Sus scrofa: one gene and its partner. The protein of the gene in region 2 interacts with the protein of the main gene of each other region in a biochemical or structural test. Links are inferred from orthologs where the notes say so. Each region holds a gene or a part of one and is shown on either strand. Other genes may lie near its edges.

What was found.
Region 1: of the proteins of PSRC1 (region 2) and ASB7, one has a biochemical effect on the other in vitro, tested with the Homo sapiens proteins (2 studies listed by BioGRID, with this or other methods). The link is inferred for Sus scrofa from reciprocal best matches to the Homo sapiens genes PSRC1 and ASB7.

What each region holds. Positions count from the first base shown.
Region 1 is NC_010443.5:139,189,897-139,194,425, reverse strand, and holds the start of ASB7 (ankyrin repeat and SOCS box protein 7), read right to left. Parts: upstream 3,020-4,529; 5' UTR 2,428-3,019; intron 2,317-2,427; exon of another isoform or gene 2,261-2,316; 5' UTR 2,172-2,260; intron 1-2,171. UniProt on the Homo sapiens protein: Probable substrate-recognition component of a SCF-like ECS (Elongin-Cullin-SOCS-box protein) E3 ubiquitin-protein ligase complex which mediates the ubiquitination and subsequent proteasomal degradation of target proteins.
Region 2 is NC_010446.5:110,812,056-110,816,348, forward strand, and holds the start of PSRC1 (proline/serine-rich coiled-coil protein 1), read left to right. Parts: upstream 1-1,256; 5' UTR 1,257-1,600; intron 1,601-1,606; exon of another isoform or gene 1,607-1,806; intron 1,807-1,974; 5' UTR 1,975-2,008; coding exon 2,009-2,027; intron 2,028-2,117; coding exon 2,118-2,175; intron 2,176-2,590; coding exon 2,591-3,032; intron 3,033-3,383; coding exon 3,384-3,498; coding exon of another isoform or gene 3,499-3,527; intron 3,528-3,588; coding exon 3,589-3,837; intron 3,838-4,139; coding exon 4,140-4,233; coding exon of another isoform or gene 4,234-4,237; intron 4,238-4,293. UniProt on the Homo sapiens protein: Required for normal progression through mitosis. Required for normal congress of chromosomes at the metaphase plate, and for normal rate of chromosomal segregation during anaphase. Plays a role in the regulation of mitotic spindle dynamics.

The DNA of each region.
Region 1 (4,529 bases), on a different chromosome or scaffold from region 2:
ACTCTTGGGGGATAGTACACACTTCTGTATTACCTAAGCTAAAAGTGAACAAGATAAAGATATTGTCTGTGTCATAATATAATTGTGAATGGCATCATTTTAGGTATGAAGAAAGTAAGTATTGGCCATAACATACTCAAAATACATCATTTCAACCAAAACTGGTGATTCTCCCAATGCGATTATAAACCTTACTTGGTTACCAAATAAATCAGGTGTTTTCTGATTTTTTTTTCTTTCAAAACCATGTGACTGATAATAGAATTACCACAAAGTTAGCTACCAGACTGAAAAAGATTAACTAACTGGCCATGTTGGTAAGAAAGTACTCATATATTTTAAACATTTGACATAATCTAGACCAAATACTCTCAATCATGCTAATATTAGGAGCAGATGTGGACAATTTACATACATTCCCTACTCTCAGAAAAACCATTAAAAGCTGAGAGGGTCAATGAAATACATTTAAGCAATGAAAATGAACTGATTGGAAACCAGAGGGAAGCAGTGTTTTCTCAGCACAGATGATAACACCTCTCAGAAAATGAAAACATGCTAAAGTTCAACTTAAAGCAGAAAAATATTTAACTGAAAAGACCTGAATAGAAAATACATAATTCCTTTTTACTTTAAAAACATACTTCCAGTATTTCAGCATTTTTTAAAAAGTTCCAAAGTAATCATTAGGCATTTCTCTGGTGATTCATATATTTCAATAATAAAAATCGCCTTCTGCCTAGCATTTACTGAAATGAAGTGGACCCTACATACACATGCAAAGGGTGCCCTAAATGTTCACCAGGAAACAGTCCTTGGTAGATTCTGATTCTAAATCCCATTTGGTAGCAGACACCCTCCTTTTGCTGTCCATTGCTGGGTTTCAAGAAGATACAAACCCTCAGGGCCCCTTAAAAGTATCTTTAGCTGTACCTTGACAATTAGAAGAATCAGGAAAGACATTAATTTCTTTTACTAGAAGGCAGAAAGTCCACCTGAACAGAGTAAGGCAAAGATTTCCTAACTTCTGCTATTTTAAGTACTTCTTTGTACCTAAAATTCCCTAAACAATCTGAGACATTAAAATAACTCTGAGATTAACAAGTCACTTTATACTCCTGTTATTGGATGCTAGAGAAGTTATTCACTTGGCTAATTTCTGAATTAACTCCTACATAATTTCCCTGATTATACCCCCTCTTCAGGATTTACATGAATGTCCTAAACTTACCTTTAGCTCATTTTCAAAGACAGCAACAAAATACAGCAGCAGAAATCTGATCACATGAATTAGATGCCTACATTTCAATCTAACCAATTCTCTGTAAGGATTTTGAAATGAGAAATCTTATGAAGAGTGCAAAAATAAAACCCTAGATTCTAAATACACCAAAACAGTCTTTGGTTTTTAAATTCCTGAGTGTCAAATGATTAACAAGATACTGCATAAAGTTTTATAAGTTCTAGGAAACCCAAAATATAACAAATACGGTTGATCTTTTTATAAGAATTTCAGAGCCCATCCACATCTGTCACAAGAAATACACAAAAGAGTTAATTATACATAAGTGCTTCAGAAGGGAGTATTGCTTTCGTACTATTCATACTACTTAGGTACACAGATTCATTTTTTCTAGAAAAAAAATTGGCATTATTTTCTGAAACTCTTAAGTTTCAAGTTATTACTGTATCTTCCTCTACCTAAACCTTCACCAGTTAGATAACTCAAAAGACTTTCTGGTAGAGGTAGAGAAAAGGTTATAGGAAAGTATACAGGGAAAGCAGAAAATTGTAGTTTAATTAAAAAGCAGAGTCATTCAGAATTAACAAGCAATTAACCAGGAATTGAGGAATTCCTATGAGAGTAAGAGGGGCAGGGAAACCACAAAAAGGTCTCAAAGTCTCTGAGCAGGGTACACGGTTCAGTGTACCGAAAGAAAATGCAAAACACGAAAACACTGTGCAGAGCAAAAGGGATAAAATACGTTCCTGGGAAAAAGAAGTTATTAAAATGTTAAAGATCAGGGCATAGGCAGTGTTTCTGGTTTTGCCTGGAAACTGGGGGCCAGGAAAGGGTTGCATTCCCAGGTAACCATCCCGAAAATAAAGCACTGCTTAATGAGGTAGGGGCCAAGAATAAACAATGGGGGAGGGGAGGAGTGGCTTATTACCTTTATGGAGGATGCTGGTCAGAGGCTCTCTGCTGCTTCTCTGGTGGTAGACCCTTCCTGCCCTCTCGCCTCCTCAAGCCAGCTCAAACCTGGAGATCAGAAAGCAGAAAGCTGTGCAGAGCCCCGGGGCGAGGAGGAGGGGGATCTGAGGAGGGGAGAGCAGAGGAAGAGAGTGGTAAAGGCAGGCAGGAAGAAGCAGGGATTCTCCTCCCTCCCAGGCCAGCCCCCTTCCCCTCCGGGAGGTAACTGACTTTACCTGTCTCCTCAGCTGCTGCTTCTCTTCCTCCTTTCAGCCTCCTCCACACTCACCAACTTCTCCATTGAAGAAACAGCCCAGGCAGGGCCGGACGCGGCTGTTCCTGGTCCTCCTCGGTGCCTCACGGCCCCAGTCCGGCCAGCATCCACACAGCCGAGCCGACCTGAGGCGGCGGTGCTGGCCGCCGGGCAGCCTCGGGGCAGGGGTGCAGGGAGGAAGTCCCGGCTCGGGTGGGGGGGCAGTCCCGGTCTGAAGGCTCAGAGCAGGGGGCTGCCGCGCTCCGGGCCGGAGGCTCCCAGCCACTGGGGGCACAGGAGGTCTCGGGGCAGCGAGGTCCCGGGTCATACAGGGTCCCAAGTGCCAGCCGCGGGGGCTCCAGGCAGGGGGCTTTCGGGATGCACTTTGCACTGGGCCACCCCCGCCCCCTCCCTCCAGCACTTTGGGGTCACTGGGATGGGACCAAGCCTTCAGCAGCCAATCAGCGGCCGCACTGGAGCCTGAGCCCGGAGCCGTAAACCAGGTCCGGAGTGGGTGGGGGTGGGGGGTGGGGACAACTTGGTTGGTTGGTTGCTTCCTTCTCTCCTCCTACCCCCAGCAGCCCCCACCCCTTGCCTGCCGTAAAGCCGCCTGCGCATTCGCGACAGTTAGGGGAGGCGTGCCGATTGGGGCTAGGACTCCTCTCGGATTGGCCTCACTCACTTCCCCTTCTGAGGCTTCCAATGCTCCGCCCCTGGCGGAGGGACTCCAGGCGGTTGCTAAGAAACGCGGTGCGCCGCACAGGGCCTCTGCGCATGCGGGAGAAGGCAACGCCGGGTTCTCTCCGCGAACTACGGTGGCCCGGAAGGGGCCGGTGCTCACGCGAATGGCGGTGCGGAGTCAGGGTGGCTCGAGCTGGTTCCCTGCAGGTAATTGGCAGCGGCCGCTAACTTTGGCGGCGCGGGAGGCGTGTGTGCGACCTACTGAGAGGCTGTCTCTGGGCTTAGGCTTAGGCTTAGAAAGGCGGCAGTCTCCAGGAGGCGAGGAGAGGGGAGCCTTGTCCCACCGCCCTCTTCAGCGCTTCTCAGACGCGGGTGCCGGGCCTTGGCAGGTCTTTCGGCCCCCGGGGCTCCGTTAGTTCCCAGGATGGCGTTCCTCGCCTGGCGAAGAAAGAGAGTCCTGTGGGCTGGCGGTGTCGCTTCAAGGGTTTGCCTGGAAGGGTGAAGTCCCTCAGGAATTCCTGTGGCTGAAAGGGAGAGAGGGGAAAATACGGGAGATGGCCATGTTTATTAAGTGCTTCTTTTCATTGAGCAGGTATTTACCGACCGGGCACTGTTGTAGCCGTTAGGGAGACCTCGGTGAACGAGGTAGATGCAATCACTCATCATCGTGGAGTTTTCACTTTACCAAGGGAGACTGACAAACACGAAACTATTTATCAGGTAGAGATAGGCTATGTAAAGGGAAGCGGAATGGGGTGGAGATTGGCTAAGATGTGATGGCTGTTTTGATAATAAAGGTCCCTGAGAATGTGGCATTTGAATAGTGATCTGAATGAGGAGATGCCAGCCATGCCAAGATCCGGGGTCGGGTGGGTTGGGGAGGATTTTGCAGGCGGAGACATCAAAAGTGCAAAACCTCTGATGCTAGAATAACTTTTGCTGTGGACAGAAACTGCAAGAAAGAGAACCAGGTAGTCCAGCATCATAGGAGGGATAATGGTTTGTGGTGAAGTTGGGGTTGATGGTGAAGCGGCGCGACAGTCTCCAGATCTTGTAGGACCTTGTAGCGGGTGGTAAGGTGGTAGAAAAATGATCATAACTCTATGTTTTGAAAAGATCACTGGCTGCTGGAGAAAGCTGTAGCTGAGAGTGGGGTTATAGAAAGACTGTTGTGATAGTCCAGGCAAGAGTTGACTTTGTTTTAAACTAAGTCACCCAATTCACCAGACCTTTGGCTACCATCAGTGTCCTCAAAGAAAGGCCTAATTATATAAAGGAGGTACTATTTCAACATATCAACTCCTTTTATGTAACTAAAATATACTAAGATGTTTTGTGGCAGGTGGCGGGGGAAGTCACTGAAAACACTTTAAAAAGGGCCCTGGTATTTTCTTTTTCATTATC
Region 2 (4,293 bases):
GAGATGAATTTCCTTAGGAGAGAGAAACTTTTGTTTGCTAAAACTGTCTCCTCCACTTACCTGAAGGTGGGTGAAGGATTTCCCTACTCCGGCTCGCTGCTCCTAGGGGAAAAAGGAATGCAGTTAATTAAGAGTTTCTTTCCCTCTGATCTCCACCTGCCACTACCTGCCAGGAGAGAAGGGGAGCTACTGGCACAGGTTTTCCCACCTCCAAACAATCTGAGCCCTACAAGCAATTAAAATTCCACCTTCAGCAGAAAACCTATGGAAAAAGAGGCAAGCCTCTTCTCTGAGCTCTTCCTCACATCAACTTGCAACTTCTCAGCCTCCCCACCCTTTCCCTTATCAAGCCACTAAATTCCAAGGCTGCTCTGCTTCCTGTGGCATTTCTCACAGTAACACCTCACTCCTGCAAACCTCACCACCTGAACTTGACAACTAAAAACTAAGAGGTAAACAGAAAGCCTATAATGGTCATAAACTCTGGAGACTAAAAGCTCAGGCTCTTTGTTTTCGAGAAAGCTCTTCAACCACTCTTCCAGGGCCTTTTAACTTAAAATGTTTAGAACCTTTCTAAGAAGCTCAGTTAACTGGTAGCCCAGTCTATTCACAGGCAACCCTTGGAAACAACAAAGAAAATCCCTAATAAGGAGGCCTAAGCTTTTTTACAAACACAGCTTTTAATTTAGAGGAAGCAAGTCACCAACACTACCCTCAAAAGCCTCCGAGGCACAAGGTATAAAACATGGTGTGTTCATAATTATCCTCCTAACCATGTCCTACTGTGACGGCCACGATCCTCCTAGATAAGCGAGGGGTCAAATATAAACGCTGCCAGGTCAAATATGCTCCATATACTTGTCAACAGAGGAGCCACGGTTGCATCTGAAGCCAAACTTCCCTGTCTGAAAAGCCTGTTTTCTTCATACCTCAAGATGCCACAGGTTCCTAAAGTTCTTGCCTAAAAAGTCGATGGAAGATGTACTTCTTAGAGAACCTCAGTATACCTAAGGTATAAAGTTTGGTTGCTTCCGTAAACTTGGAAAAAATCACAACTGAGGGCCCTGGCTACCACGGCGCTTCCGAAAAGAGCCCCCGGACGAACTTCCTCAGGCAGAGCGTTAGCTTTGGGGCCGACGGCCGTGAGGGGCGTCAGAACCCAGCCCCGCCCAGCACGAGGAGGGGGCGGAGAAGGGGGGGGGGCCGGCCGGGAGCGAGGCTCTCACTCATTGGTCCGTTCCCTCGCGCGCCGCCGCGAGGTCCCGCCCCTCGCAGGCCCCGCTCCCGGAGGGTAGCCCTGAGAGGTCTTCCCCGCTCGCGCGCGCGCGCGCTCGCGGCCTCCCTGCTCCAGGCCTCCCGGCTTTAGCTCTCCGGATGGAGCCTTTCTTGGAACGGCTCTTCGCCTGGTTCCCACCTGCAGACTTCCGGCCGGCGGCCCCCTCCGCCGCCCCGCCCCACGAGGGCGGGAGATGCTGGCCGCCACCAATCATGAGTGCGCATGGTAGGAGAGGGTGGGGCCTGAGAGATTCGAAAGGAGCCCCGCCCCCTCGGAGCTGATTCCCGGGACTAGGTTGTGGAAGGAAAGCACCTTCCGCAGGAGGTGAGGCGGAACGGAAAGTAGAAATAGGGTGGGCTGCCGGCGTGGAAGGGATGTGGTGCCGCGGGGAGTAGAAAGGTGGCTTGGAGAGAGGAAGAACCAGAGAATGGTCGCGGAGAGGGAGATGGGGGGGCGTAGACCGCCCTGCGAGGAGAGGTCGGGTCGCAGGGGGCGGGGGCCGCCGTGCGCAGGGACATTGGAGTGTGGAGGTACGTGTCTGGACCTGTCCCGGAGATAACAGGGGTGGTTTACTGGAGCAAGTGCTGCTCTCGGGATGCTTGCTTCACCTCCAAGCACGACCCCTTGCAGCCTAGCTGGGCCTAGCTGGGAGGCCTTGGGCAGAATGGAGACCTGAGGGGAGGTATTTTTCTCTCCAGCTCAAGTCTAAGCTGATTCTTGCTTCTCTGGAACATGGAAGGTTTAGAAGAAGGTAAGGAAACCCTGGAGGGAAGAATGAGGCCCTGTGATTGAGAGCCGTGTTTGGGACCCAAGGCTGTATTTCTTCTTTCCTCCCCTACAGATGTAAAGTTTATAGTGGATGAGACCTTGGACTTTGGGGGGCTGTCACCATCTGACAGGTAGTAGACTCTTTATCCTACTTACTTTGCTTCCACAATGCTTGTCTTTAACTTTTACTGGCCTCGGGTCTGGATTGGGAATTTAGCAAGATTGGGTGCACTGAGGATTCTGGGTAGCTGGTTGACTTGGGCCCCTTGTGACACGACTGGGGGAGGGGAGAAGGGATAAGCTGGAATGAGATTGCAGGGTGTTAAGTAGAAGGGTAAGTAGATTTGCCGCATCTTCATCCTGACATAATTTCCAATGTCAGAAAATGCTGAAGGCCTCATAGAACCAGGTGTCTCATCAGGTAGATCTCACAGCCAGCAGGGACATCAGGGTTGGGGTTGTGGCTCTGGCTCAGACGTGGGGGCTTTGCCCAGTCTCCTTCTCTCTAACGTGTGGGCATGGTGTTCGGTTTGTTTTCTGCGTCAGTCGAGAGGAAGAAGATATAGCAGTGTTGGCGACTCCAGAGAAACCTGTCCGACGAGGCCTCTCTCATCGAAGTGACCCGAATGCTGTGGTCCCCGCCCCCCAGGGTCTGAGGCTCAGCTTAGGCCCCCTCAGCCCAGAGAAGCTGGAAGAAATCCTCGATGAGGCCAATCGGTTAGCAGCTCAGCTGGAGCAGTGTGCCCTGCAGGAGCGAGAGAACACGGGCGAGGGCCCAGTGCCTCGAAGAGTGAAGCCCAGCCCTCGGCGGGAGACCTTTGTGCTCAAGGACAGTCCTGTCCGAGACCTGCTGCCCACGGTCAGCTCTCTGGCTCGGAGCACTCCCTCCCCCAGCAGCCTGACACCCCGCCTCCGCAGCAGTGACAGGAAGGGGTCAGTCAGGGCTCTTCGGACGACATCTGGAAAGAGGCCCCCCAGCGTGAAGAGGGTGAGTTTAGAGAGTTTGGGTTGATGTGTGCCCCTGGCACTGTTCATGACTCAGTACAGGTGTAGAGCAGTTTTCTTGTCAGTGAAATGGAAGTCACATTCTACCTCATTAAATTGTTGGAATTAAACGGGGTACCATGAGCAAAGCGCAGCACAGCGTCTGCAAAGCTCTATAACGTCTCTAATAAGCTCTCGATAAATGACATCGGAGGCGATGATGACGGTGTTGGCAGCTAACTGCTCTTCCTTATTGGGATCTAGGTGACTCTCCACCTCGATCCCTTAATCAACCAGCAGAACCGATTCTCTTTGCATCCTAGTGCCTTTTTTCCTCCCTCTCTTTGTGTTTCAGGAGTCGCCCACTTGCAGTCTGTTCCCTGCATCCAAAAGCCCAGCGTCTTCTCCTCTTGCCCGATCAACTCCTCCAGTCCGGGGGAAAGCTGGGCCCAGTGGGAGAGCAGTAGCAAGTGAGAAGACCTTGGCAGCAAAGCCATGGGTGTGTGGGAGGAGGGAGGATGTGGAGCTAACCCTAAAATTCCTCACCTCCTCTCCACCAGGCCCCCCGACCCCCGTCAGACCAGTCCTAACCCCACAGCCTTCTACCAGCAATTCTCAGCGCCCATCTCGGCCACAGGGAGCCACGGCTAAACCTTCCAGTCGACTACCGGTTCCATCGGCCATTCCTCGGCCCGCCAGCAAGATGCCGCTCACTGGCCGGACTGTACCATCCAGCAAAGGTGCCCTTCCCCCAGACCCGCTGTCAGCTCGGAAAGGACTTCCAAGACCAGGTGCCACAGGGCACAAAGGTGAGGAAGGGTGGACAGAGGGTAAGAAATCAGGAGGAGGAACACCCACCCTTGCCCAGCCTGAACACGCCCTCCCGGAGCTGGTGACAGTGACTTTCGCTACCTTGCTCACAGCTCTGTTTGACCATGAGGAGACCGACTTAAGGAGAAAATGCGGGTCTGGGCAGAGTTTGAGCCTTAGGTTTTTTACCTTAGCTGGGAAGGGGCGCTAAATCCTGGACTTGTTCTGTCTTCATTCAGTATCTCTGAGAAGGTCACTTGAACCTTTTACTAATTCATGTCTTTTGTTAACCCCCATCAAGTTCCTGTTTCTCAGCGACCAAATCCTCCCATCACCAGTGTCGGCCGCAGCAATCTGCAGCCCCCCAGGAAGGTGACAGCCCCAGGACCTACCAGGTAAGACAGGCTGAGATGCTGTCTCTCTTCCCTCTGTCTTCTGGGCTTCTGAGCTGTTAC